Arabidopsis thaliana: one gene and its partners. The protein of the gene in region 2 interacts with the protein of the main gene of each other region in a pairwise test. Each region holds a gene or a part of one and is shown on either strand. Other genes may lie near its edges. The genes, in order: NAC088, AT5G10570 and SMZ.

Region 1 (9,270 bases), 2.7 Mb from region 2:
TATTCGATCCGTTGGGAGATGCAAGCTTCTTCACCAAGCTCTAGCAAGTAAGCTACACAGTGCAAGCCTTTCCACACACAAACAACCATATTAACATAAAATAACACAAATGTACCACAAATCACCATAAGCAATGAATCAAATCTCGGGAATGACACAAAGATCTATCAAGCACTTATTAAGCCATAGATTATGATCCAGAAAGAGGAGAAAAAAACGAAACCAATGTATCACCTGTAAGAAGAGCTCAAGTTCATTCCCAAGAGGAATAAGATCCAAATTCTGATCAAAACAGTAAACATGTACACGGCTACCAGAACTTCCAGCATCAAAAATCACAGCGTAATTCTTCGGACCTCTCGAATTAGGACCTCCTTTGCGATTATGCACAGAATACTCTTCAACGACGGAATCAGAAATCGATCTCCCAGGCATTAGCAGAAGAACGAGACCGATCAACACAATGGGAACCGAAATCACAAGTATAATCCCACGATGGCGTTGGATCTTGTCAGCAAGAGATTCGTGCCGTCCAATCCCACGCTTCGCCGTCATCTTACCTCCGTCAACAGAGTCGGATGTAGGAGAATGGTTACCAGACTCCAGGAGCTCAGTGGAAGAAGGCGAACGGTAGCGTATCTTACCGTTGCCGTTGCCGGTACCGGAGGACGCCGTGGTCTGCGGCGGATCCTGTAACGGCTCCAGATCGACGGTGAATTTGGGAAAGCGGCTTGAATCGCCGGATTTGATCTGGAATCCGAAGCTTGTGTGTGCTTCAGATCTGAATTTTGTATGAGAGAGCGATGGATGCAAACAAAAGACGTTATGGGTTACGATTGCGGGAGATGGGTAACTCCCAACTATGTTTAACTCTCACAATGAGCTTACGCATAAATTAGTTAAAGTTGATTTTTTTTTATATTGAAATTAAACAGTAGTAATAAATACCAAAATATTTAATTAAGTACTTCCTCTGTTTTAATTTATTTGTATTTTAAAGTTTTTGTTGAAAAATAAATGCTATTCATTAATATTTTTTTGCAAAAATTTATGATTATTTATTTCTTTTGATTATATTGGTATTATGCAGAATATTTTGTTATTGGTTGCATATATTATTTTAAATAAAAAATGACGTTATAGTATAAAAAAGATAAACAATTTACATAATTTATGTAGTGTCTTAACTTTTTATGTGTATGCAAAATTCTTAAATTATAAATAAATTGAAACGAAGGGATTATCACTAATATTTTCACTAACAACTCCTAATTTTTCATGAGATTTTTAATTTGACTGTTTACTTTTTATATTTATTTTTTTTGCAATTTTGTGATAGTGAAACTTGGTTGAATCGAACTTGGTATAATTTGATAAAAATCAAAGCTAAGTGGATATCAAAACCATATAAACCTGAGCTGTATGAAATTCGGTTTGAGTACTCTGGTTAATAGAAGTTGTAAATCGAAAACATGAACCTTAACCGGATTAACCCACCCTGACTCTCCTTCACGTACCGAACTTAACCAATACTACTCAACCGGACGAGAGTGAATTTGTAGATTACGCACTAACCGAGAAAATGTGAATCCATAAATTTTAAAAAGAAACGAATTTTTTTTTTGGGCTATAAACTATAAATTAAGTACAAATACGACAACAGCATAAAACATACAACAAATGGGATTATGATTCATGAAATTTTTACTTAGATTTTTCCATTTTTTTCTCAAGCTTTCTTCTGTTTTTTCTGAACCAGAGGTGGAGCCGGAAATATAATTCTAAAGAGCATCGCAGATAAAATAGCTCCGGTGTAGGAGCTGATCCAATACACATAAAAATGGTCCCATGTGTTGTGAGACTTGTAGATATATGCCCACCCAAACGCCTGCATCACAATATATACCACAAGACTATATATCAAGATTCATTTCAAAATGTAATAAAAATGAATTAACAATTCTTGAGTAGGACGAGTATGAACTTACAATGGCAGGATTCATGAATGGTCTAGTGAATTTAGAACCTACGACAAACACCGATACGGTAGCGAGTGCGAGCAAGAACGTTTTCGCGAGCAGTTTTCGAGGACCTCTTAGGATAATTAGTAAAACCAAAAATGTAACACTAAAACTTAGGACCACTTCAGAAATAGCTCCATTGTGTGCACCAAATTGCAATGAAGGCTTTCCTCCAATCCTAGTCTTATACTTTTCCGGTATCATCTCCATGATCGTTATCGCACCGCCTGCCGCACCAATTGCCTAAGATATATAAAAGGTTACATTACATATGGAAACAAATATGCCAGTGGGTACTTGGGCCAAAATCTCCAATTAAAAAAGTTTGTACGTTATTCAAAAACACACATGGACCACACACAATAAACTTCACATAGATCCAACAAACAAAGAAAATACATTGCTCTAACAACAAAATAAATGTAAAGAAATTCATAAACAATGTGTAAGGATAAAACTTTAATAGATTCTTATTCGAAGAGACAAGACACAAAAGCAAATACTCATATGAAAAGATGTCACAAGTATATGAACAAAAATCTTTCTGTTCAGAACAAAATAAAGAACAAGAAGAAGAAGTTGGTTTGGTTTCAAAAGCTAGCTTAGATCATAAACACACACCTGAGCAGGAGATCTAATGGCCAAGGAGAAGAGAGAATCACTGGAAACACCGGCGGTATAAAACGCTGCGTTTCCACAAGGATTGAAGCTAGCACCACCAAGAACGTTTCCAATAACCGTAAAAATCGAGATGGAGACAAAAACAACCAACGTTGAGATCACAAGAGGAGCCCAAGTGATACCATGAAACCCTACGGCGGAAACAATCGCCGCCGTCTGTATCCCAAACGTCGCCGAGAGAATAACCCACAAAAAGGTTATCACCATATCACCTAACGCCGATTTTACCGCACTCATCGTAAGTATCGTTTTTTTTTCTTTTTCTTGAACGTTTGGGTTTAAGAAGATTGTTTTCTTCTTGTTGAAAAGAATATATTTATCAGTCCACTCAAAACTAATATTCTTTTTTTATATAGAAGGAAGATATGTATGACTATGAGTGACTCACCTAACGGTTAGCTGAATTTTGTAGAAATGTAGATAGACTATCCCAAATTTATATAGAAAACAAATATACTTTTGTAACTCTTAGAAAAAGATAATTGAAAAGTTTGTAGAGAAAAAGATGAAATCCTTATGCTCTGATTAACATAGAGGGCCTGTTTAATTCCAAAATGGGTTTGTTGTACAAAATATGTAATGAGTTCATTTCCATATTCTCTGCCACCTCAAATGACCATGGTTCCTTTTTGGTGAGCTCTGACTATGGAAAGTCTATACTGCTTTTTTTCTTTTTCCTTTTTAGTGTACTAGTGTACAAATTATAATGATCAAATGAATGTAGACACTATTGAGAACAGATACATGTAAAAATTAACTTATAGGAATTGAGCACAAACAAAAACCTTTTTTCTTTCCTTTTTCCAGTATATATTAGAGTAAAAAAAAATGATATACATAGGCTGGTATATAGTCAAGATATTATAAAAAAAGAAAAAAAAAGGACAGAACCTAAACGAGAAACATAATTTATGGTTCTGCAGAAAGTATACCCAAGAGGCCAAGACCCCCTCTTGGGACGAAAAAGAGAGAGTTTGTTGCATTTCTTGATATTCAAGTAATGAGATCGCATGTTATTATTAGCATAAATTCGTTAAACGATATTAGCTAAAAGAATTAGGATATGCTTATGAGCATAAGTATCAGGGGTCGGCCCTGAGATTTTATTGTTATCTAACCTTAGAACCCAAACTTGTGGTCTGTTTAGCCAAGGTTAAGAAAGAAAGGTTAACCAAACCATTGCTGACTATTGGACTCTAGATAGGCCCAGCCCAGTGCGAAACCATACAAATTTTTTTGTTTTCCTTTTGTATCTCCTCTACATAATTTTTTTTTTCAAATTGATGTGTTTGGAATTATTGGGCCACAAAATAAATGTCTTTAGTTTTTTGAAAAATTATTAACTATTATTCGTTTATTTTTTTGACATCATTATTATTCGTTTGGTATAGCCCTGTGCCTATTGGATTTATTTTTATAAAAATAACATGAAAAACTTGTAAACTTTCCTTTTTGTATATTTATATATATCCAAAACTAATCCAAATTAGATAATATTCAATAGTCGGTTCTCAATCATACTCCACTTTATATAAACCTCATTAGAGGAGGTTCATAATTAATTCTCTCTCATTTGACTCGAGGAAATTTCAGAAGAAGAAGATGATGCCGATGACTGAAGAATTTTACGATGAAGAGGAAGAGCTTGGTTGCTTTAGATTTAATCCTTCAGAAGAAGAACTCATACTCGATTATCTTCTACCAAAGCTTGGCTTCCACCAACCAAACACGATATATTTGTTAGAAGACAGGGACAACATCTACGCCAAAGAGCCGTGGCGGCTTAATCACACAGAGAATGATATCTTTGAACCTAACGAGTGGTTTTATTTCGTGAAAAGGACAAATCGCAAAGTTAAAGGTTGGAAAGCCACTGGAGAGTTAAAAGATGTCGTGTCGAAGAAAACCGGTGAAGTGATCGGGAAGAAGAGGAATCTCAGGTTCTACGTTGAAGGTGATGAGAGCAAAACGAGTGGTTGGACCATGAGGGAGTATTCTTCCATTGGCAATCAAAACCAACGTCTCTGCCACCTTAAAGGACCATGATTCTGTTTGGTGAATATCCCTCAAAAATATGATGATTATGGAAAACGATGACTTCTTTTTTTTTTTTTTTTTTCTAAAGGTAGTTACGTTACTCATCATCATTTTATTTCGTTGTGTTTCGTTTGAAGATTCTCCCGTATTCTTATATCTTTATTAGTATACACATTATAAGTCAAGGATCTGAGAGTCTCAATGTTTTCTTGTTTATTTAATTAAAGATTATTCAAGTTTTTTATGAGGAGCTTTGCAGCTCTTCGCATGTTACTTTTTTCATAGATAACAATAATGGTTTCCTTTTTTTTCCGAGGAAGACAGTACGTATTATTCATATAATGTATGAAAATATAATGAGATATTAATATTTTCTTGAGAAATATATGAAATAAAGCTTGTATCTAAACTCTAAATCCAAACCCTAGAGTAGAAGAGGTAAACATGTTTCAACAAACTTTTATGATAAGAACTTATCTTTTGTACGTAGTATATATCAACAAAAAAGGAAGTTTGCTAGTTTTCTTGCTCTATTTAGTCAATCTATAAAAGATGAAAAAAAAAAAACGATATTGCTATTTGATTTCCTATATTTTTGTATGAATTGATTGTAGAGGATTCTTCTTCTTCTGAACATATTGTAGTAATATATATATTTTTAAAGAAATATTAGATCGAATCTCACAAACGGAAGAATCTTTCCACGTTTTGAGGAATACGGTCTGTCACTGTCACCTACACATATGAAATATAAGTCTGTTTAGGGTTTTTAGCGTCGGTCTTCAGATTTTGTTGGAATAGGATGTCCTAAACATCAAAGATCTAAAAATTAAATCAAAATTGAAGAAAAAACCTTAGATACAGATCTATTTTTGGACATTTAGTCACTCTTTTGGACGCTTCTTTGGACACACAAACACACATACCTTAGACACATTTTTCAAACATTTAAAATTTTAGATCCTCTATATTTGGATCCCATCATTGGACAATGTCAAATATAAATCTAGTTCAAATGTCTATTTGTAAATTTTTTATTGTAAAATATGGATCCCATTGTTGTAGATGCTCTAAGGGAAAATACGTATGGTCAATTTTGTCAAGATTGAGAAAGAAAAGTTGAACCATATATAATATAACTTAACATTGATTATGTTTTTCTTGTGGTATGTTTTGTTGTTTTGTTGTTTTTAGTTGTAGTTTTCAGTCTTACTCTCTTCTTTGTTTGATTGTTTCCCTATTAATCGCTGATGCAATTCAAAAATGGTATAAATATTTAACGTTATAAATTAATATAAGGTGAGCAGGAAAGCTTTATATTTCTTTATTACTTGCAAGTTTCATTACTTGTATTTCATTTCAATATTTATAGGATAAAGTTTTATAACATAAAAAATATAGTAGCTTCAACTTTTGTTATTATATAGTCTATGCAAAACCATTTTAAACCGACAGATAAATGCACACAACTGACAAATTTGTTGTTGGTTGAGGTATGGATTGGCAGCAAAAAGGAACTTTTAAAAATGTGAACTTTGACTGTGAATCTCCCAAAAACTCCCAACTTCTTCACCGTCATCGTCAAGCTTACGCCAACCACTTAATTTATTACACATAGACTATCATTTTTCTAGAGACAACCCATAAACAATAAAGCTACTTTTTCAAATGTAACCCCCATATTCTTTTTGTTTTGCTTTGTCAATAAATGTAAAGCCATTTTTTATTTTGTAACTGAAACATTTTCATTACTATTTGGCTAAATTAGCTAAACTTTTCTTCAATCGTTTGGCTCACGCTTCTTTTTTTTTTTTTTTAACGCGTGCGTTTAATTAATCTAAATGCAAACCATAAATCTATAAATACTTTTTACTAAAGAGAGTCAGTTACTCAAATGGTGAATAGCTTTATCATTCAGTAGCTACAATTTACGGGAAAAGAAGTAATGGTATCCAAATATTTAATTTATAGTGCTCTGAAAGATTCACCATATATTGAAAAACTAGAAATAGAATTTTTCTATTACCATTTTAATTATGGTAGACAATGTAAAGCTCATGTTTTTTTTCTTCCCAAATCTTGAAAATGAGTTGTTTAGATTTTTAAACTAATAGATGTAGTATTTTTTCCAAAGTCAATAGCCATGGTTTAGTTACAGAAAATAAAATGGCTACGATTTGGTCAAATGATTTATGGCTTGTAGATTAATATTCGATATTTAAAATTACGAGGATCATAAACAAATGGATTGAATAGGACTATAGGAGTGATTCATTTTCTAATTTTCCCATTGGGAAAATAGCAACTAGGTCAACGACAAAGAAAAGTCAAGACTTGTTTATTTCTGAATTCTGACCGTATATCACTCCACGAGGCCAGGCTCCTGCAACTCAAACGTCTGGTTTCAGTTTGGACCAATAAATAATTTTAGAGTTTATATCTTCTAAAATCAAATGTAGAATTTGCATGGATTATATATGGAGATATTACTAGTTTAAGATATCCTATAATACCAAAGTCATCCTCAAATGTAAACACTGAACTGTTTCCATTTATTAGTATAGACTCATTGATTGAAAATAATGGAAAACTATAGATGATGATAAATAAGGAAACATCAAAGAGCTAAGTATTTATAATAGCTAATAATTAAAAATTATATCCATCATAAACAAAATTCAGGAATTCCCATGTGAAAAGAAAAGTGGACCGACAATATAATAGTCAATCATCACAAATAGTAAGAACGTAACATAGCGTTAGATGCGTATTCATATAACATTATGAAATGCTAACTGATTGATTTTTTCTCTTTTTAATAAAGTGGACATCTTTGTCAACAAAATGGGTAGATTTTTTTTTAATGAACTGTAACGTAAAGTAAATGTGTCACTGACAAAACCTAATTAATAAAAGCCGTGGACTATAGCGCGTTTCTTCTCTCCTTTTTCACACCTTCCCCTGCACTCTTCACTTTTGGTTTTTGTTTTTCTTCTATTATAATGGTTTAATAAAATATATATAGTCTATATAATATAATATAATATGTAACAATGAAGTTTTGTATTCGAGTTTTTATCCAACAAAAATCAGGAAAATAGCTAACTGTTTTTTACTAGTAAATTTCTGATTACAACTTTTAAAAAATATATAACACTTATTGTTTACTTTGAATTTTCATATCAAGGTGACCTAGTAGGGATTGAACTGAAGTAAACTTATAAACACATAATTTTTTGGAAACGTAAGAACTTGAATTTGTGATCTATCCAATTGTTTTTTTTTCAATCAATCCAACTTAGAAGAGACTCTACTCTCCACTAGTTGTAATTAAAAAAACAAAAACAATTAATAAAATGAAGAAATAAAACTTTGTATATCTCTCATAAAGTCGACTATTTAGACTTTTAGAGGTAAGGACAATATCTTCTTTGCTTACATACCCCACTCTTGTTATAAAAGACAGTAACCTTTCTTGAGATCACTCTTTCTTATTTGTGTGTTAGTGCATTGAGAGAGAGAGAGAGAGATAGAAAGAGAAAGAAATCGTCATGGCTCATGTAAGTGAAACTTCTCTAATCCTCTATCCTTGTTTCTTCCTGTCGTCTTTAACATATAGATCGTCAAAACCTGCCTAATAATGTCTTATCCTCACATAACACCTTTTTTTTTATCTCCATCTCTCTGTTACTTAGAACCCTCCATTCATATATACACTAGGTGCCAAATTTGGTCACGTGTTTGGCCCTTCACGTTCTTGACTCTTAGCTAGATCCTTGTTTCTTGTGGATTCTTGAATCTTAAATCTTGAATCCCTGAGTTTTGTTGGTTCTTGATTTTGATTCTCGATTCTTTAGTCATTGATTATTCGATCTTTGTTGGTTTTTGATTAGAGATTTAATTAGCATATTTATGTACTAATAATTGAATAAATGGGAACAGGGGAGATATGATACTTACAAGAAGAAAAGTGGACAGATTCCTCGGTTTGGAGAATGGGAAGAAGCAAATGAGATGCCAATAACACAATACTTTGAGAATCCAAGACAAGCTGGTCTGATTCGTCACCAATACACAACAACTTCTTCTGCTTCTTCCACTACCACTTCATCTTCATCTTCTTCTTCTTCTTCTGCAGAAGCCTTAAAGCTTGCTTCTCACCATCCCCGTCCACGTCACCTCCACGCTCAAAGACAGGTTCATTCATCTAATCACTACTTATTTTTCTTAATTATATAACATTTATTTAACTCGATAAACGTAATTAAGTATCTAAAGAAGAACGCGTTGTTTGTTTGATTAATGACTTGGCGTAGACGGCGGGGACGAAGGAGAAAAGAGGACCACAAAGGCGTGTGCGTGACGTCAGTGCACAGTCGGACAAGTATTACATTGACGTCAACGGTGTTAAGCAGTTCAAAAACGACGTTGCTCTGACTTGTAAGCCACCTAAGCCCGTTGATGAAGATCTCTACAAGATTCCTCCTGAGTTTATCCATTCTTCAACAAGGGTAAGAGCTCCTTCTCACAC
Region 2 (10,626 bases):
AGGTTGGTTCATTTCTTGTAGTTAAAGAAAAATCGTGCTTGTTGAGATTAAACACCCTTTGTCCTTTCTACATATACGACTACTTTTATACCTTTTGCTCACACTATTTTTATGAAGATAACATAATATACATTAAATATCTACGGACTCTACAAATAGAGATGCGTTAACATGCAAATTCTCTATAAAATATGTGCATGCTTTATACCAAACACATAATAGTTATAAATATGTTGAGCTGAGAGATATGGACAAAACCACTTGAGTTTCAGGTTTAGCCTTAAAAGGTTTTAAAAACCAAGGAGCCGTAACGAAGTGTCTAAAAACCCTATCTGATTTTTGAATAAGACAGATCAAAAACGTAGTTGGAAGCGTAATTAATTAGAAACCGATTGTAAATTTGAATCTCTAAGAGTTCAATTCAACATCTATGTATACATGCAGTTTATTCGAGTTTGGTCTAGTGATTTTATTTGGGCTGCGGAAAACTTTTGCCAAAATACGCATCACAATTTATAAAACATGTGCATGCTTATTCGAATAAAGAAAGTAACCTACATGACCCCCAAAAATTCAGGGAATGTTCCAATAAATCTTGATGATTCTTCTTGATAAAATTGTAGTATATTTTAGTACTAGAAAACTAGGCACCCATTTTTAAAACCTGGCCAGAATAGATGCTCATGGATAGCTAGGCCTACTCATGGAGAAACAAATTATAAGATTGTGGAATAGTAGTATTGAACTATCTTGTAATTTTCCATGTGATAAAATACCTAACTGTATTTCTAAATGGGTGTAGTTTTTGTGATTCATGCATGAATCGACTTATCTATCGGATGCTTATAGTATATATATTCCGCACGCTATATCTGACGTTTTACTTTTAAAGTTATACAACTCTATTTAATAATCCACCAAGTACATACATTCCTTAAACCAGAATATATATATGTACATACAATTCATCATTTCATTTGTTTTGTTTTTAATTAAGACTCTCAGAATTTAACTCTTGAGTATTACAACACGGTCATGCTTGTTGTTGAAATTTTCTTTTATATATAATTTTGGTAAAAGAAATTAATATACAATATTTTTGTTGACGATACTAACAAACAAAATTAGACCCCAGTCAAGTTTATAGTCTAATTAATAATGAAATTGAATAAGTTTCTTATCGTGCCAATACTTAAATTTAACACATACGTAATTAAATACAGTATCTGCACTATAAGAAAAAACAACAATTAAAAACAGTATTCACGGCCTAAACCAATCGTTTAAAGATTTGTCTTCTTTGGGGACAAAGAAAAAGAGAGAGAGAGGGTGGTGGCTTCGTGCGACCCAATAACTAACTAACAACAACACTACGGCAAAGAAATGAAGCACTCACATGTCTTAATCTTTTACACGATTGCTTTAATTATGATTTATTAACTTATTAAACAGCTCATCTTATATGAGTATAATAACAAATAAGGAAGCTCTCGTCAGCAAATAGAAATTGTGAGGTCCACATTCGACCATATATTTTAGTGTATAAACTTCGAAACCTAACCTACTCGCACAAACCTCTAGTGCTCTAACCTACCCATATTTTTCCTTTTTAGTTAATTGTGCATACTTTTTGGGTTCACCGTTCATTTTAATAGAAAAATAATTACATTTTTGTCTTAAGATTGATTTGTTTCTATATGATTATTCACCTGCTTGCTTACAGATTACTATTAAAAATTCTATTTTACATTTGTATATGTAAGATGTGATTATTTTTATTTTGTCGGCGTAAAGAAGTGATTTAAGATTTGTGTGTTAAAAATGAAGACGAATGAAAGAGTCCTGTTTTATCTGCTATTTTGATCTGGTTTCTCGTTTATAATATTTTTAAATCAGAATAAATAGTTACAAAAACAAAAACAAATTGTGTCTTTATTATAAAGTTATGTTTTAAACTTAAAATAAAAATTTCTTTTGATAAGTGGACAAAATTTTAAAACTTGTTTTTTTTCTACCAAATGAATTAAGGTTTTCAGTGGCGGTGTCTTTATAAAAAAAAACTTTATCTTATTTTCTTTTTAGTCTACAGTCTTTACCTTTTTTTATTATATGAGTTTTGTATTATTTTAAGTTTGAATGGTGACAATAAAACTTTATTCAAAATTTACGCATAACCATATCAAACTATCAAACTATGTTTTATAAACCATTAAACATATAGAATATAGGATAAGTTAGGTATAAAAACAAATTTTGGATCAAAATAAATCCTCTGATAATCTTATTATGTTCAAGAATTACAACGACTGCGGTTAGACCTATAAAGTCCATTAATCTTTTTTCATGTCGAGTGACCCATCACTAGAAAGGCTTGAAATGGGCCTATGTGTAATCAACCCTTATGTAATTTCTTTTTTTTATAGGAATCAAGGGAAAATAAAATTTCTTTTTTTATAACATAACACGACGTTCTTACAGAAATTTGTCCCTTTTGAAAGATCTTATTTTCATAACACAATCGCCTGGTATGTTATGTAGGATTGTGCAGATACATTAGATATTTTCCTCTAATTAGTAAAATAGACATGTCATATCCATTAATATAATTTTTCATGTCCAGTAGACCAATGACAATAACTATAGACGGTAGAAATGGGCCTAGGTGCAATCGAAACCCTTCTTCTTTAGGAATCCGAAATAAACCGGACGAAACACAATCAGACAAGATCTGGTTTCTGTAAACACATCAGAATTGGGACGGATAAAGTGGAATAGCCATATAGATTGAAAGAATGTGCTTAAGACTACTAGACCAGCTTCAAAGACGATAAAATCTCAGCAAGTCTGAAGAGCAGAAGCATAATTTGATCTAGGAGCAGTTAAACACCTCTCATGTCATTGTTTTATTAACAAGTAGGTTGCCTGAATCACCGCTCCCATTACGAATCATATCATAATCATTCATAAAATCAAATAAAAACAAGCAGAGATTAAAACATGTGAGAACTATCTCAGCGTCCAATATCGAGGGAATCGATTTCGGACAGAACTGAGATAGATCTCCGATTGTGGTCTTTTTTATTTAGGGCGCTGCATTCATCTCTATGGCATCGTTATTTTGCTAAAGAGTCAAACTCCAGTCCCGATTGACATTAAAAAAACCACCAAAACACATAAACCATAAAAACAAATCGCAAGAAAAAAAATTAGCACAGAGATCTATCGAACTATATAGATTGATAATAAGCTTTGAGTGGCCGATTCTCGGATAACTTGATTAGGGTTCAAAGTTAGACGCAGCTATTTAAAGAGGAAACGGATGGAGCTCGTTAGGTCAAAAAGCTGGCAGAATTTTAGTGGACTTTATTTGGGCTTTAGTATAACAGGGCTTATTGGGCCCAAATGAAAACTCTTTTTAACATTTCTGCTCTCTCTATTTTGCATGTTTTATTAATGAGTCGGATTAGAAACCGAGGGGTCAGTCGAGGAGACTAATTGGTAAACATCAATGAGTTCTTTTTACACCTTTGATTTTCCCATTTATCTATCTCCTTATGAAATATCATACTCATCACAAGAGAATAAGAAGAACCGGAAAATATTATCATCATTAAAAAACATTGCAATTTTGAAGCTCCCCTACAGACATCTTCCTCCATAACCTGCGTTTCTGATTAGTGCTTGTTTAGTAGCTTCCGAAGTAACCATGTATCTCTGCTCACCAACCTACATATATACGAAAAAAACAGAATATAACAGAAAATAATTATAGAATATACATTTAATTTGTCGATGCACCAAGTAAGGCTAAATCAAAGTGTAATAATATTTGTACCTCAAAACAAGAAGCCTGCAATGAGAAGTCACTGAAGCAGCTAATGACACATTGTTCAATCTCTAATCCTAGAGTCTCCAATGTACTAACCGTTGATACAACCAAACCCGGTTTCGTAGGACAACATATATCAATATGCGTATTAACTTCCCTTTGATCTACTTCAAACTGCAAAAGATTCGTTTTCGTTATAGCCAGAAAAATTGTCTGCACCTTCAAGTGATTATAATTTTTTGAGTGATATCTAATGGGAATCAAATTGATTCAAGTATATGATGAGGGTGTTTGTAACAAATGATTTGTAATGGGATGAATTTGTAAAAACACAAGACTTATGAGTACTGAAGCACAAATACCATAATAACATTATGTTTTGTTTTTAGCTTTTACCTTTAGGGAGTTTCTGACCATAGATTCGTTTGTAATGAGGGTGCTTAGATGAGAGTTGCTTCCAAGTTCTTGTTCGTCTTCTTGCAACTTGTTAATCTTGTCCAAAAGCTCCTTCATGTAATCTATTGCATCTCCTAGTATCGATGTCCTATCCATCTGATTTTATTATATAATAATCATCAAAAATTATATACATTTTCTCATACAACAAACTCTATGCAGATTCACAAAAAGCAATAACCTTTTATCAGTGAACAGTGTACCAAAAAAAAGATTTCAACAAGAAGAAAACATACATGTAACGTTAAGAACTTAACAAAAAAGGAAGAATATTTCTTCTTGACTTAAAAATAAAAACCATATAACATGTGACAAGGATGAGGTTTATGGAATTTGACCTTGGTGATTTTAGGGACAATGGATCGGAGCAGGGAGAGTCGGTCATTTAACCGTTTCCTCCGCCGTCTCTCCGCCATAAGATTCTTCGAAGGCTGACCTTCAAGCTTCTTGTTACTCCTTTTCTTGTTAGTCTCTCCGATGCTTATGAAGCTCTTGCTTTCCTCCATCAATGGTGAGTAATTGTTGGTGTTCTCTTGCGAAGCCGGAAGGATCAATGGAGGAGGAGAATAAGAGGAGTGTATGATATCCTCGAGAAAAGGATAGTCGAAAGCGGAGGAGAGCGGCGGAGAATCATAAAGAGGTGACGACGGTTGTGGTGGTTGATGAAGCAATGGAGGTGGCTGAGAAATTAGATTCATCAAAGAAGAAGAAGAAGGATGATCAATGTTGTCGTCTTCTTGGAGAAGATTGTTGAAACAGAGGTAATCGAAGTTCCAATCATTTGGGACGAATTGGTCAATCGCCATGAATCCTCCATTAACGCCGTTGAGATTGTTGCTTTCTTGTTTTCTCAATTGCGTCAATTCCGTTTCCATCTCTCTTTCTCTCTATTTTCTGAAACTCTGTTATTTGTGAAAGTGGAAGTGAACAGAGTTTGTGAGCTTGGGGTCAAAGAAGATACAAATGCATGTAAATGCATTACATAAGTGTGAATTGTAATGAAGAATTCACTTTTTAACTGATTAGAATTACTTTATTCCATTTGACATATGTATATTTATGACTTGTTTGTTACATAAAAAGTGGATTTTAATAGTTAAAAATATATATACAAATAAGTAGTTTTGTCTAGTTGTTTAAGGAGAGATCCACTAGAAAACATTACAATTTAGTGTGTTTGTTTTTGATCCATGGTCCAGCACCAACCTATGAGGCATAAGCTGAGATTGATGAAATTTTTTTTTTACTTAATATCGTTTTCTTTTGTGTTGTTGTCTGAATCGTATTATTATTGATGGTTCGTTTTCAGTGACGATATTAAGTAATTTATACGTTCTCTTTGATCGGAAAAATGATCTGACCCACAAAGTATGTCCCGGCCAAAATGAATGAACATCATCATCTAGCTCTCTTCCTTAGTCAACTTATGTATATGATACGAATGGTATTTAATATTAGAAATATCAAATATGAATAATCAGATGCTTACAAAAGTAAGAGATAATGGTCTAGATTTCGAGATTGAGAAGCTGCCATCATATTTGCTTTTTTATTATTATTATTGGATAGGCTTTTGGCACTGAACGTTAATAACATGGAAAAATCTTGAATAGATATATATTATTGTGAGTTTTTGCCATTTCAAAAGTACTCGTATCCGACGATATCGATCAATTACGGGAAAAAATAAACACCCGTGTCTCTTCTAATAGACATAATTCCGCAAATTATTACATTGTGGTGTATCAGTGTATGATTGTATTAATATGGAAAAAGAAAAGACTGACAGGTCAAAGAGATCGAAGAAGGCTTAAGTCAAAGAAATTTGTTTCTTATATCAGAAGCGAGTTGCGTGAGAGTTTGTGGACACACACTGTCTCCTACTCTATCTTCACTCCATTATTTACTACTCAATCGGATATCATTATTGTCTGCATTATATAAGTTGCTTTTCTTTGACAATTCATTGTTTTCATTTCTCAACATTTAAATTGAAAATTAACAAAATTTCATATATTTAAATTTCTAAACTAATCATTCTTGGATACCCATTGACTTTTTTTAAAAAGTATGTGTTTATCCTAATAATTGTTGGTTTAACTAAAACCAGGGATCAACAGTTGGGTTGACAAAGGTTTAGTAAATAAAATAAAGTAACAACCATAAGAAAAAAATGACACAATTTTCAAGGTGAATGCATGCAAGCAGAAGCAGGGATAAGAAAAGATGAAACACGTGAATAAGCTTCAGCCATTATGTGCTATGTGACCATGACTAAGCCACTATGGATGCATATTTGAAAATTTTGGGGTTGTTAGTTAAGTTTCAATATTGGGTTTTGAGTTTTCGGTTCATTTATTTTAGAGAGTTTTACACCAAAGTAAATAATTCTGACTTTTAATATAACTACAATACATAAAATTTGGTGGTTTTAAAATTTTTGTTATTTACAATTAATATTTTTAAATCCTTGTGAATAAAAAATTTATATACAATTTTAAAATACTATCATTTTTAATTTTTTTAAAATAAAATTTAATGTTTTCTTTTGTCAACTAGCTAGAGACACTTGAAACCCACCCATTTGTAAAAGTAAAATTATTCAAGCATTAGTCTACAAAAATTGTAGACCTTGATTAGATAAAGCCCCAATTCATAAATGTTCACTGATCTTAATTAATTACTATAAATCGATTAGATAAAGGCCCATAATGATTTGGCCCCTCTACCGTCCGTCAAATGACAAGTAACAAGAAACAGCAGTGAACCAACCGGTCCAACTGTTAATTTAGATTTTACCGGTCTATTTAGTTCGGTTTAAAACTATACCTTTTAGTTTCCTTTTTCACTCTTCTCTACAGATTTATTTTCCTCCAAAATATGAATCTTCAGTTGACTCTAATCTCCTTACTCTTCTTCACTTCCGCCATAGCTGAAACCTTCAAAAACCTCGATTCTCATCCACAGTTCCCTTGTAAACCTCCTCATTTTAGCTCTTATCCCTTCTGCAATGTCTCTTTATCCATAAAACAACGAGCAATTTCTCTCGTCTCCCTCCTCATGCTCCCAGAGAAGATAGGTCAGCTCTCAAACACAGCTGCTTCAGTACCCCGTCTCGGTATTCCTCCGTACGAGTGGTGGTCGGAGTCTTTACACGGACTCGCCGATAACGGTCCCGGAGTTTCCTTCAACGGTTCGATCTCCGCCGCTACTAGTTTTCCTCAGGTAATCGTATCTGCTGCATCTTTCAATAGAACGCTATGGTACGAGATTGGATCTGCTGTTGCGGTGGAAGGTCGGGCTATGTACAACGGTGGTCAAGCTGGGTTGACGTTTTGGGCTCCGAATATAAATGTGTTTAGGGATCCGAGATGGGGAAGAGGACAGGAGACTCCTGGTGAGGATCCGAAGGTAGTTTCCGAGTATGGAGTTGAGTTCGTTAGAGGGTTTCAAGAGAAGAAGAAAAGGAAGGTTTTGAAAAGAAGATTTAGTGATGATGTTGATGATGATCGTCATGATGATGATGCTGATGGGAAGCTCATGTTATCTGCTTGTTGTAAGCATTTCACTGCCTATGATTTGGAAAAATGGGGGAATTTCACTAGATACGACTTCAATGCTGTGGTAAGACTAAGAACTCTTTTCTTCACTATGTGTAGCTTGTGTATCAACTTCAATTGGATTTTAATTGAGAACTCTCAGGTTTAGTGGATCAGGTTTGACCTAAAATAGAATTAAATCTATAGACTTTATTGAATGCACCTTTCTTTGGTGTTCATGAAACAGAATTTAACTAGTTATATTGCTTCTGGCTTTTGCATTATCTCCATGGTTCTGTGTCGAACACTGAGTCTAGCTTACTCTGTATTAGTAGGTCACAGAACAGGACATGGAAGACACATATCAGCCCCCATTTGAGACTTGTATAAGAGATGGTAAAGCTAGCTGCTTGATGTGTTCATATAATGCAGTTAATGGGGTCCCTGCTTGTGCGCAAGGAGACTTATTACAAAAAGCTCGAGTTGAGTGGGGATTTGAAGGGTAAGTGAATCTTCAACAGGGAAGGAGAGAAAAACCTGATTTTTGTTTGTGATGCTTTGGTTCGGCCAATGAAAGATTTACCGGGGAGTCTTTTTCTTGTATCTGTGCAGGTACATTACATCAGACTGTGATGCTGTGGCAACTATTTTTGCGTACCAAGGATATACCAAGTCACCTGAGGAAGCTGTTGCTGATGCCATAAAAGCAGGTCCTTTTGAGTTCTTTTAACACTTGTTAACTTGTAAATAGGTTGTCTTAAAATGAAATCTGAGATTGTGAATTCATAGGGGTGGATATAAATTGTGGAACATACATGCTTCGGCACACACAATCTGCGATTGAGCAGGGGAAGGTGAGCGAAGAACTAGTAGACCGAGCTCTGCTAAATCTCTTTGCTGTTCAACTTCGTCTTGGACTTTTTGATGGTGATCCAAGAAGAGGACAGTACGGAAAGTTAGGATCAAATGACATTTGTAGCTCAGACCACAGAAAATTGGCACTGGAAGCAACAAGACAGGGTATCGTGCTCCTGAAAAATGATCACAAGTTGTTGCCTTTGAACAAAAACCATGTTTCTTCATTAGCAATCGTTGGTCCAATGGCGAATAATATAAGCAATATGGGCGGTACTTATACAGGTTCGGACTATCTATCTTCTTGTTATTTTCAAGCAGGCTAAATTTTTCTCCTCGCTGAAACAGTTTATAAATGTCATATTTGTAAAGGAAAGCCGTGTCAACGAAAGACTTTGTTCACGGAACTTCTGGAGTATGTGAAGAAGACATCTTATGCGTCTGGTTGCTCAGACGTGTCTTGTGATTCTGATACCGGATTTGGAGAAGCTGTGGCCATCGCCAAGGGAGCGGATTTTGTCATAGTAGTTGCAGGATTAGATCTCTCTCAAGAAACCGAGGATAAGGATCGAGTTAGTCTTTCTTTGCCTGGTAAACAGAAAGATCTTGTGTCTCATGTTGCTGCTGTGAGCAAAAAACCGGTGATTCTTGTTCTAACCGGTGGAGGACCAGTGGATGTAACGTTTGCTAAAAATGACCCGAGAATCGGAAGCATTATCTGGATTGGTTATCCAGGTGAAACTGGTGGACAAGCACTCGCTGAAATCATATTTGGAGACTTCAATCCAGGTTAGCCTATCGCAAATCAAAGCATCTTCTGTTCATCCCAGTTTATGAAATGCAGAAACTGAATACTAAAGCTTTTTGGTTGTATATGGTTTTGGTTTCGGTTCAAGTGTAGGTGGTAGATTACCGACAACGTGGTATCCGGAGTCATTCACGGATGTGGCAATGTCGGATATGCACATGAGAGCCAATTCATCTCGTGGATATCCAGGAAGAACGTACAGATTCTATACCGGACCTCAAGTTTACAGTTTTGGGACCGGTTTAAGCTACACGAAATTCGAGTACAAGATCTTATCAGCACCAATCAGACTTAGCTTATCGGAACTTCTTCCACAACAGTCTTCTCACAAGAAACAACTACAACATGGAGAAGAACTTCGATACTTACAGCTCGATGATGTGATTGTTAACTCTTGCGAATCTCTGCGGTTTAACGTTCGTGTTCATGTGAGCAATACCGGAGAAATCGACGGTAGTCATGTTGTGATGCTGTTTTCGAAAATGCCACCGGTTTTATCTGGTGTTCCGGAGAAGCAGCTGATTGGTTATGATCGTGTTCATGTTCGTTCCAATGAAATGATGGAAACAGTGTTCGTAATCGATCCTTGCAAGCAGCTAAGCGTAGCGAATGATGTCGGGAAGAGAGTGATTCCTCTGGGGAGTCATGTCTTGTTCTTGGGAGATTTACAACATTCTCTCTCTGTTGAATTCTAAAACACTGTAATCCGAAAAAATTTCATTACTGTTTATTTCCTTCTAGAATGATCTATATATATACTTTTGAAACTACAGAAACAACCAGGTCAGCTAAAGAGAGTGTGACACGCACGCAATTTTTCTGCGCGTGTGATTGTGGTAGAGATTAATCAACAGAGAAAAGTGAGCTGTCGTGGGTCCCACGATATATCAGGGAAATGGTCCCCACATCTGTTGTTGTGTTTGGGGATAGACGCAACATTTATTATTATTTACGGTTATGACCTCCTTTTTCCAGTATACAACCTGACACCTCATAATATGTGTTTTTAATCAAGGATCCGACGGCCCAGATTTTACCCAACTTCGTCAAATGTATATAAACAAAATTGCACTTATTTTCTCAATAATTGAGTCACTCTCACCTCCTTCCTTTGAAAAAAAAAAACTTGGATCGAGTCT
Region 3 (11,667 bases), on a different chromosome or scaffold from region 2:
TTTGAGAGAAGAAAAGCCTGCGGAGGCTTTGGAGGTTTTAAGTAGAGCTATTGAGAGAGGAGCAGAACCGGATAGTTTACTGTATAGTCTTGCTGTTCAGGCTTGTTGCAAGACGCTTGATTTGGCTATGGCTAATAGTTTATTGAGAGAGATGAAGGAGAAGAAGTTGTGTGTCCCGTCGCAGGAAACTTATACTTCTGTGATTTTGGCTTCTGTGAAGCAAGGTAATATGGATGATGCAATTAGATTGAAGGATGAGATGTTGAGTGATGGGATATCGATGAATGTAGTTGCTGCGACGAGTCTGATCACGGGACACTGCAAGAACAATGACTTGGTTAGTGCTTTGGTTTTGTTTGATAAGATGGAAAAGGAAGGCCCCTCTCCGAACAGCGTTACTTTTTCGGTTCTGATAGAATGGTTTCGTAAGAACGGGGAAATGGAAAAGGCGCTTGAATTTTACAAGAAAATGGAAGTCTTAGGTCTTACTCCTTCTGTCTTTCATGTCCACACGATAATTCAAGGGTGGTTGAAAGGTCAGAAACATGAAGAGGCACTGAAACTCTTTGACGAGTCTTTTGAAACCGGTCTTGCAAACGTGTTTGTATGTAACACTATATTATCCTGGTTATGCAAGCAAGGTAAGACAGACGAAGCTACAGAGTTATTAAGCAAGATGGAAAGTAGAGGTATTGGACCGAATGTAGTTTCTTACAATAACGTGATGCTTGGCCACTGCAGACAGAAAAACATGGACTTGGCTCGTATTGTTTTTTCAAATATACTGGAAAAGGGTCTAAAGCCGAATAACTACACGTATTCCATTCTGATTGATGGATGTTTCAGGAATCATGATGAACAAAACGCTTTGGAAGTCGTCAATCATATGACTTCTTCCAATATTGAAGTCAACGGGGTTGTATACCAAACAATTATCAATGGTTTATGCAAAGTTGGTCAGACATCCAAAGCAAGAGAATTGTTGGCAAATATGATCGAAGAAAAACGGTTATGTGTTAGTTGCATGAGTTACAATAGCATTATAGATGGATTTTTCAAAGAGGGTGAAATGGATTCTGCGGTTGCAGCATACGAAGAGATGTGTGGCAATGGTATTTCTCCAAACGTCATAACTTATACCAGCTTGATGAATGGGTTATGCAAAAATAACAGAATGGATCAAGCATTGGAAATGAGAGACGAAATGAAGAACAAAGGTGTCAAACTCGATATTCCAGCCTATGGTGCTCTTATCGATGGGTTCTGCAAAAGGAGTAACATGGAAAGCGCATCTGCTCTGTTCTCTGAACTCCTTGAAGAAGGATTGAATCCAAGCCAACCTATATACAACAGCTTGATTTCTGGATTTCGTAATCTGGGAAACATGGTAGCAGCCCTTGATTTGTACAAGAAAATGTTGAAAGACGGTCTACGATGTGATCTGGGTACATATACAACACTGATTGATGGATTGTTGAAAGATGGAAATTTGATCCTGGCCTCTGAGTTGTACACAGAAATGCAGGCGGTGGGTCTTGTCCCTGATGAAATCATTTACACAGTAATTGTAAACGGTCTTAGCAAGAAGGGGCAGTTTGTAAAAGTGGTTAAGATGTTTGAGGAGATGAAGAAGAATAATGTCACTCCGAATGTCCTTATCTACAACGCGGTGATTGCCGGACATTATAGAGAAGGAAATCTCGATGAGGCTTTTAGACTTCACGATGAGATGCTTGACAAGGGTATTTTACCCGATGGTGCTACATTTGATATTCTAGTTAGTGGGCAAGTCGGAAACCTCCAACCTGTACGTGCAGCAAGTTTGTAGTCTGCCAAAACCAGACCACATTATTGACTGATGACTTAGCTTTGGCTTTTCGTGAGACCCCGATAATATGACTGCTTAAGGTGTGCACTTTTCATTTTGCACGGTTGTAGTATAAATGTTGTTATTCATGAAAGAGGGAGACTCTATAGACTTTCTGTAAAGAAACTAAGAAGGGCCTTCTGTTTTTGTCAATTTTATAAAACATAGAACGAATTCAAACCAGAATAATTTGACTCTGTATTCTTATACTGAGCTTCTTTATTTCCCAACTGAAACCAGGTTCCAGTTTTTCAAGGTCTTCTGAGGCATCTATGTTGGTGGGTGATGAAACCAGTGCACTGAGTCCTTATTAAACTCTTCATATGATTCTTCTAGCATATCGTCTGCTCGAGTAAGGCTACTCCATGTGAACTGGAACAGGAAAACACAAAGCCCTTTTGAAATCTGCCAGATTCAAAACCCAGAAAGGAACCTGCAACTGACACAGAGAATAATATCCACCGGTTAGCCTGCGAGGTTATAGTTATCGGAACCGTTAAGTTACAAGATTCGGATTATCTTTTTATTTGTCTGTCTTTTGCCTGCTTCTGAGATCAACTTTGCTCATAAATGATGGTTTTGGGTTAATCAGTTTATAGCTTGGTCTAAGACTCTTAGTTGCTACTGCCCACTGGTGGTGATGTGCTTTTAGCTTTTTTATGTGCAAATTCTTCGTGATGATAACCACGTTTGGTATATAATTCGAGTTGAAGTTAGAACAAACACTTCCAATATTTCTCACTCATTAAGGAAAGAATCAAATTTTATCCTTGTATACAATAATCAGATAGAGTAAAAATATATATTAGTTAAGAGAGTGTAGAACGATCCTATGGATCAAAACAATTGGACATGGAGGAAGAGGAACTTGTCATGCTGATAAAAGGGAATCCTGATGATGCTGCAACTGTCTTCAGAGGTTTCATGGTTGCCATGGGTAAAAATATCGATGATTGCTTACCGTATAAACCCATCGTGGACCGATTGATACCCTTATAGTAATCGCCTGTTGTCAACTTTATACTTTCCGATGATGATGAAATTCCGAGACTTAGTTCAAGATCATTGTGACCATTTCCTATAAAAATGACAATGTTAATGGATAAGTTGCTCAAATGGAGAGTGCTAAAAATTTTATGAAAAGGTTAGCTAGCTTCCTTGATCAGATTTAAAGTATATGTAAAATTTGTGGTTAGTGTTATATATAGATTGGCAATGTTCACTTAAATTTATCAACCATGCCTTATAATAAACTTAGTTACATTCTGAGTCACACCATATTAATCAATTACCTTTGATATGGGCACCAAACTTCATGGCTCCTTCTCCCTTTCCCAACTCATTGTATTTTATTGCTGCTGCATCCCATCCCCTACGAATTTTGCACATACGTATAAACATTTCTAAGTTTATTCACAGCATAACACTAACTCTTGTTTCATTTTTTTTTTTTAACAATGGTATTCTGTGAAGCATTTACAACGAAACATAAAAGGTAAACTTAAGAAACCATCATCCCCGACAGTATCAAACTCTTGAAACGGACGATGGTTTCAAGCTTGCACCTAAATGGAAACAAACGTAACGTTGGCTTGGTATAGTTTGAGGGGGATATATAAGTAAAAGTATTTGAAAATTGCCATTCACTTAGAAAATTAAATTTGAGTAGAAAATTTTGTACCTTCACGAAGTTTTTTTTTTTTTTTTACTACTTAGTTTTGATTAATTGTATATATATGGACTAATTGATGTATATATGATTGAACTGGATAAAAGTTATTCTTTCTTTTAGTAGTATATAAAAATAAATATTATTAATTAGCTAGCTAGTTTATAACTTTTTTTCAGCAAACTTTAAAATTGTGTAAGACGACAATAACTTTTCCAAAAAGTGAAGGTTAGGCTTTGAATGGTAAAGCACTAGCTAGATGAATAGATAGAATAAAAATAAATTGAATATAGGTGAAATATAGTTAAGATAAGTGACGGATTTATAATATTGTCATCCATGATCCGCCAAGTGAAATGTATTTTCCATGATGTAGATTGTGTAAATAGTAAAATTAGGCCATTTCATCAAAAAGTAGGGAATATTTCAACCATATTTTATTCATACTAATAAGACTAACTATTTGCACTTTAAACTTGTCAAAAGATTACGTGTCTAACAAAATGGTACCTGTTTTGGAAGAGATGAATCTGATCATGAGTTTTGAATTGGGTGCATTTTTGAAGAGCCAAGCCTTTGTATTTGGAACTTCCTCTTCCGAAACTCGCACTCTCTCGCCTAAGTGTTTGCACGAACTCCACCTTATTTAAATTCTTCATCTATACATAAATTGATAATTTTAAAGATCCACATGTATTATTTCGAACTATACAGGGAAATGAATCATCTTCATAACGTAATATATATATATATATATATATATATATATATATATATATATATATGTTTAACCTTATCGATGTCATGCCTATAATCATCCACGACGAAATTGATGTCTGCATCGAGACCACGGAATTTGATAGCAGCTCGGTCGTAAGCCCTGGTATTCATTTATGAATAAGTCAAATTGATATTAATTATTTATTGTCTTCAACAAACTCTAATGTGTATATGTTGACAAAATTAAAACATATTCAAATGACGAATGTTGTAACAAATAATGTGTATATATATATATATTTTACCTTGCTGCTGCGTAAGCAGTATCAAACCCGCCTGTTAAAACGAAAATTAAGTCAAGGAAAAAAAGTTAGATTAATACAAATAATCAACTTGTGTTCACTTAAACGTGAAAGACAGAAGTAACAAACATAGGTAAATGAGCTGTAATAGTCTATTATGTTTTTTTGTCTTTTTACAAAAAAAAAACATACATCCTTTAAAAAAAAAAGAATAGAGGTAGTTGACAAAAAATAAACTTTTTTAACAGACGTTGTCAGAGAAGATCTACAAATCAAAATTATCACAAAAATACGATTGTTTTAAAATTCATCGTTTATGCCTAAAAATAGACACACACGTAATTAAAGATGACCCAATAATTAAATAAAAATCTGATCTACTTACCCAAATAAACTTGCTTTCCACAATCCCTACAAATTAATCAATTCCAAACCCAAAATTAGAGATAAATATAGCAATAATTCAACAAATAACAATATAAAAATGCAATGATAATATTAAAAATGAAATATAATTTGATTTACCAAATATGAGATTCCCAACGACCGGTGCGACGGTAAAAAGTGACGCCACGATATTGGGAGCTACGAGACCTTGGTCCTCTTCTGCTCTTCTTCACCATTTTCTGTGTATTTCTTTGTAAAGAAGAAAGATTCAACCAGTGACTGTCTTCCACGGAGAATTCTATATTCCGACGAGCATCAGCCACCACCGGAAAGAGATCTCCTGTTTCTTTATGAGGAGGAGGAGGAGGAGGAGGAACAAGGTCATCGTCGCGTTTGAGAATTCCAAAAGCGATGAAAGCATCTCTCGCTGCAGAGTCTGTTGTGGAGGAGGAAGATGAGTTAGATTCTTCTTCACCGGTGGTTGAGATCATTAATGGTACTTTCCGATCTTGATCTTCGTTATAAGAAGAAAAGATCTTTAGGTTAAGATCCAACATGATCGAATCTTTAGCTATAAACGACGTTGTTCTTTTTTCCGGCGAGAGAGAGAGGGAGAGAGAAAAAAGAGAGAGGATAAGTGTCAAAAACGAGAGAGAGAGAGAGTTCTAAAAGAGGGAAGAAAAAAAAGAACGTGGGACGTGTTCACTGTGAAGGTTGCATTGGATACACTTGCCCTTTATTTGCCTTTTCAACTCTTTTTTTTTATATATAAAATTGATTTCTATAATTATATGATTGTACTTGCCTTGCCGATGTATCGAATAAACATATTTTGTACTATATATTAGTTTTCATTTTTGTTAATTAAATATGGGAGAGCCGTAGATAGGGTTGTACGATGAGTTTTTATATATTAACACTTTTGATGTTGTAAACTCAACCGCGTTAATACGATGTAATAACAAAAACAAAAGTTTTCTCTTCCTTTTAAGTGAAGTCGACCTGTAATTTTAAAATAGTAAACAAAACTAATGCCATCAAATAGGTGAGGAGAGTAAAGTATAAAGATACTAGCTTATACTATTACTTATGTTCTTTAGCCTTCTACTTGGTAAAGAGACCTCGTGAATATAATATGATAGATTATTTTTCCCTCGTAAAATACAGCTACTTGATTTATCTAATGATACATCTTTTGATCAAGTCATCGACAAGTTTAACAAAATAGATAACATCATAAAGAGTTTAAGAATTTTTTTTTAATGTTGTTTTAGTATTAAGATCAAAACCAAAAGTCAAACCTTAAAGGACGTATTATATTGTGATTGGTTGAAGAGTAAGTAGTTTTTAATTTCTATGCATTATATCAAAAAACAAGCGTTATTACTTTTATTTTTCAAACCAAAGCATTCTAATTTGATATAGTTTAATGCCGAAGAAATTTGTTAATGCATGCTCGAATGTGGAATTGTCTGTAAGATTATAAATTTGTTCTTAATTGACAAGTGTACGTTATTAGGCCTAGTGTGACCACAAACAAAATATAATTGAAAATAAGATAGCCCCATCAATTATAAAAGTACTAAAAAGTCAATATCTGAAATTTTCAACAACCTAAATCTAGCAATATTAGGAATTTGCCGACTTTTACAAATTTTCAATTTATCCTTAATTAGCAACAGATTATATAGCGATTATCGATGCGATTATGTTTGTTATTGGTAACACAATTTCTCAGCAAAATTTAGAATTTTGAGGAATAATGAGCCGTTGTTGTCAATTTTTTTTTATTTTAAATGTTATTTCTTAATCATTACTTATTTTTATCCTTCCTTACATAAAATGACCTAAATATCTTTGATTTTCGGAAAACGTAAGTTAATGATGAGAATGAATAGTAGATGGGTAAAATCCAATAAATAATTTTTTTATTTTTTTTGGTAAGGATAAATAAATTTTTATATTATATCTGAATTTGTAATTTCTTCTAACATGTTAGTAAATTATACGATTAAAAAAGAAAATATGAAACACAATTCAACATAGTTATTTCACATTTTAAAGCATTCAACAACAAAATTAACCGGTTAACATCGTCTACTCTCTGCATTTTAGTAATAAAATTAGGTCATTATTTTTCGATAAAATTCATTAAATTTGGCATTTAGCGACAACAATTATTGATAGGTCCCTCGTGTGATTCCAACGTGTCAAGATATGAAAAAAAATCTAACGGTCAGGGATTTTTTGGTACTTCGCGTCGCAATGGTATCTTCTCAACGTGTTAAATAAACCCACATGTGATTTTGTTTCTCTATGCGTCATTTAACGAATCAGGACAATCCTTTCTCTATCTTTTTTTCTTTTTCTTTTCTTTATTTTGCCAAAGGACAACCCTTTTCCATTTAAATTAAAGATTACGATATATGGATAAAACATAGCAACGAAAAATTAGAGAGACCGACAGATTTTTTTTGTTAGTTTTATATTATATTTTATTTATCACACATTTTAGAAGAAATTAAACCTAGTTGTTGTGCTTTCGCATCCCAATATACATAAATCACAATCAACTGAGATTTCGTAAGAGTTGATTTAGGTTATGGTTTAATCTATAAGAAGGAGATACCATTTGCATTTCATCTTTATACTGAAATATTGGTGAAGAAAAGGAGTTTCAAATGGACTGTCATAAATTTAAATAAACCATTTAAAATATTTTAACTATCCTTCTTTAACACATTCATCCTCAAGCCTTTTTTTTCTTCTTCTTTATCACTAGTGGGATGGATCTTCAATTCCAAATTATTGGAGGAACAAGAAAGATGATAATCTAGACCACAACATAAACTATACAATAAAATGATAAATGTGTTATAGTCAATGAATAAAGAATAAGAGAGATGGTGTGATGTTTACACGTTTGGGGCCTAAACCAAAAAAAAAGGATGGGTCCAATATGCCAACTACTACTATTGTATTGAGAGTAGGAAGAGAGAGAAACCTTAATGGAGACAGAGGGACAGTGGGGTTATGTCAATTGTCATATTATTCAACCACTCACCAATCACTCACTCCAAATCTATATCTCTCTTTTTACAAATAATTATGATAGATTTGATGATAAGTTGGTTCTCAAATCCCAGCCGTTCAATTTATCCAGATATGCAAGAAAATATTAGATTTTAAGGAATCGGCCTTTCCTTATTTGGTAAGACTAAATATCTCTGTTCATTCTAGTTCCAATAGGTAAAAGAGTAACCTTTTTTCTTACATTATTAATAACTTGCATTGCACAATAACGTATTACCCTATAATTCACAATGATAATGTGTTTTGAAGTCATCTACACACTTCAAAGTTTATTACTCAATCGAAAATTGAAATATTGTCTACCACTCAAATTTCTTGAAATGGTTAAAATACTTGAACGTGTACTATATGCAAAAATCTCTGATATTTAACTGCTTTGAAATTTTTATCAGAATATTACTAGTGATGGGTCAATTTCTTTGTTAACCTTGTGCTTTATGCACTTATGTTTATAGTCTCTATTTTCTACACCTAAACAACACAATCTATTTGTAGGTTGCAACTCGGACCCAAATTTTTTGCTAAATTTTTTGTTGAAGTCTTATATTAAGCTAGGATTGTGACTTAAAATATGAATAAAACTCATATTGTTGGCTTAAAAAACGAATTAGGATGTTTGTATTTAGTAGGAACATAGTGTTATGAAACCACATCTGATAAACACATGATTTTAAAGTGTTTTAAAAACTATTCTAGCTTCAAAACCAGTTTCTCATTCATCCCGAATCTTTTTTTCCATCACATATATAGTAAATTCATGATAGAATTTTAATTTAACCTAAATATATATAGTTCATAGTTGGTTATGTTCAATCGATTAGAAGGGTTCTGTTGGATCCGAATTCGAGACCTAGGAACTACACCATGATACATTTGGGGAAAATATGATATACGTTAGTAGGTCAAACACAAATATTATCTAAGATTAGCCTCCGGCCAGAAAATTATGGACTTTGTATGTGAGGGAGATTGAGAAGCGATTGCTAAGATTAATAAATATGGGGCTTGTTGGTAGAGTAGATCTATAAAAGGGGTGATAGAGAAACGAGTGGAAACGCATGAAGCACGTTATAAAATTGAATAATTGAAGATTCAACCATATTCTTTGATAATTGGTGGGCATTTTTATTTTATTATTTGTTGTCAAATCTCTATATAAAGAAAAAAAATTGTTTTAACGTTTTCGGTTTAATGTTTGACGCATATATGTGGGAACAGTTTTGGGCGACGTGGTAGCTTCCCCTCCTCGTTTCCCCCAAAAGCCAATGCTTAAAATGACGAGAATACCCTCTCCAAAAAACCATGTGCTCCTAAGTCCTGAACTAGTTCTGATTCTTTTCTTTTAGCTATATAGGGAAGTGAGACTTGCGAGGGTGAGTATGTGACATCAAAATGGAAAACACTAAGCTACATAACCGTTGGACTAAAATGGTAATAAAAAGAAGCAGAACAGAAGTAGGTGAATAAAACTGAGAATGGAAACAAGAAACAACTGAAGAAATCGGATTTATATACGTTTTTGATCATATTCTTTGGTTCAAACTCTATAAATAAGTTTCTTGGCTTCTTTCTTATAAGAAGAATCGACTACACTTTAAGTTAAAAGACCACAAGCAATACACAGTTACAAGAAGAAAGAAAAGTAGTTCCAAGTACTCTCTCTACTTTAAGTTATAAGATCACAAGCAATACATAGTATTTAATAATTAACACAAGAGTCGAGCTTGGACTTTCTTCTTTCTTGGGCCTTCTTCTATTCCGATTCATCCCATTGACAAACCCAAAGCGTTGGATACTCAAATGCTCATTCGTAAACACGTATCCTCATTAGCTTTTTCTTTCCCATTTTGCTTGAATGTAACTAATTAATTTGGTTTTTTTTTTAATTAGTAAGTGTAGTATGTCAATATTGTACAACTAGATGATACTGATCCATTAGAGTAACACTAAAGTTACCAAAGTTTCATACAACTCCAACGACAAGCAAGGTTAGGCCTTTCCATCCAATATTATAATCTAAGAAGGAGCGATTGCCCTTGATCTGACCCAACTTGCGAGTGGAAAATCTAATGCTTATTTGTTCATTCGTTTTCTGAGATTCTATATCAAATAATAGTCAGTCATCACTAGAAAATGCTCAAACAACTAATATGATTCATACACATTTCATATCATATGCTTGGCAATATTGGACCGAACTTCATGATTTTTCTGTCCATGAATGCAAATGTGTTGTGATCTCTGAGTTACATCTCAAAATGTGAACTTGACATCATATTCTCGTTCAAAAAAGGAAGATAAGACAAAACATTTAAGAAACATTTCACAATCATAGGGGGCAAAAGATCAAAATTTAAAATTTCGGACGAGAGTGGAAACTATCAATCTTTAAGGGGATGATTTGGCAAAAGTGTTGTTTTTATTTTTCTTTTACTGTTTTCGTTTTATCATCTTTCAACGTCTTTCTCTCCCGACGGCCAAAAACCCCAATTTTGCCAAATCCAATTTTACACCCAGAAACCCTAATTTTCCTTACTTTGATTTGATTTTGTGATGGACGATTATACAAGAGAGATGATGGATCTCAAGACTTTGGTCACTCGAACCCTAGAGAAGAAAGGTGTCCTCGCTAAGATCCGGGTAAATTCCCTCTACTTCTCTACCATACATTATTCGCAGAAATTTTTGAGTGGAAATGAGAACAGAGAAGTGATTCGTTTGAAATACATACATTACTCTTTTTCTAGGGTTCCTGCTATTCAGATCGAAATGCTCGATATTGTTAATTGCCTATGCATCTGGAATCTTGCTGATAGTTTATTTGTGTTTGTAGGCTGAGCTCCGTGCAAGTGTGTTTGAAGCAATTGAAGAAGAGGATAGAGTGATAGAGAACAATGAAGGACCGCCTCCAGCTCTGTTGGGAAGCTGTAATGATCGTGCAAGGAAGCTTCATGCTTCTCCTTCAGGTTTTTTCTTCACAAGTTTTTGCTTTTATCCTTTTAAATCTTTCCTCTATGAATGGTTTGGTTCTAAATGGCATCTCTTGGTTTGAAATTTTTGTTGAAATGCAGGAAGGTTACTATCTGCGTTGATTTGTGAATACTTGGACTGGGCACAACTTAATCACACGCTCATAGTTTATCAACCTGAAAGCAATTTGGTAATCAATATAATCCCGTTTTCTTTTGCTATGTTTCATTAAGAAGATTGTTGATGAATTTTTCTCACTAATCTGGTGAACTCCTGCAAAACCTATTCAAAGCCAAAAGATTCGTGGAAGTCTGAGTTACGCGACTTTAATAGCAACAATGGTTTTGAGCTCAATAGAAATGGAGATAGTGGACCACTCCTTCTCGATGTTCTTGAAGGGTTCTTGAAGTTTGAGGTATTTCTTTCTTTTTTTCCCCTGAAGATGTTTGCAGCCAAGTGTGAAACAGAACTTTACTATCTATAACTTCTTCTCTTAGTTTACAATCTTTACAACCATACTCTAAACAAATTACAATAGTCCACCTGTAGTATGTGTGATTTATGAGTTGTAGTGTTAACAGTTCCTATTATGTAAGTGAAGATGATCAATACTTTACACCCAAGCTTTACAAACACCAACTTACATAAAATCTTGGTAC

The links.
Region 1: the proteins of AT5G10570 (region 2) and NAC088 interact in a two-hybrid assay, tested with the Arabidopsis thaliana proteins (one large-scale study listed by BioGRID).
Region 3: the proteins of AT5G10570 (region 2) and SMZ interact in a two-hybrid assay, tested with the Arabidopsis thaliana proteins (one large-scale study listed by BioGRID).

The regions. Positions count from the first base shown.
Region 1 is NC_003076.8:6,053,469-6,062,738, forward strand, and holds NAC088 (NAC domain containing protein 88), read left to right. Parts: upstream 1-4,304; coding exon 4,305-4,748; downstream 4,749-9,270. Other genes in the region: APY2 (apyrase 2), read right to left, coding at 235-555; SIP1;2 (Aquaporin-like superfamily protein), read right to left, coding at 1,730-1,888, 1,989-2,264, 2,643-2,939; AT5G18310 (ubiquitin hydrolase), read left to right, coding at 8,291-8,299, 8,682-8,936, 9,056-9,250.
Region 2 is NC_003076.8:3,335,891-3,346,516, reverse strand, and holds AT5G10570 (basic helix-loop-helix (bHLH) DNA-binding superfamily protein), read right to left. Parts: upstream 5,318-10,626; 5' UTR 5,161-5,317; coding exon 4,624-5,160; intron 4,382-4,623; coding exon 4,226-4,381; intron 4,004-4,225; coding exon 3,836-4,003; intron 3,727-3,835; coding exon 3,640-3,726; 3' UTR 3,438-3,639; downstream 1-3,437. Other genes in the region: AT5G10560 (Glycosyl hydrolase family protein), read left to right, coding at 7,166-7,909, 8,160-8,326, 8,437-8,534, 8,614-8,964, 9,052-9,468, 9,581-10,182.
Region 3 is NC_003074.8:20,371,021-20,382,687, forward strand, and holds SMZ (Integrase-type DNA-binding superfamily protein), read right to left. Parts: upstream 5,503-11,667; coding exon 5,084-5,502; intron 4,970-5,083; coding exon 4,944-4,969; intron 4,593-4,943; coding exon 4,562-4,592; intron 4,417-4,561; coding exon 4,329-4,416; intron 4,196-4,328; coding exon 4,047-4,195; coding exon of another isoform or gene 4,016-4,046; intron 3,242-4,015; exon of another isoform or gene 3,240-3,241; coding exon 3,160-3,239; exon of another isoform or gene 2,946-3,159; coding exon 2,698-2,945; downstream 1-2,697. Other genes in the region: AT3G54980 (Pentatricopeptide repeat (PPR) superfamily protein), read left to right, coding at 1-1,828; TON1A (tonneau family protein), read left to right, coding at 10,592-10,678, 10,872-11,004, 11,110-11,198, 11,301-11,423.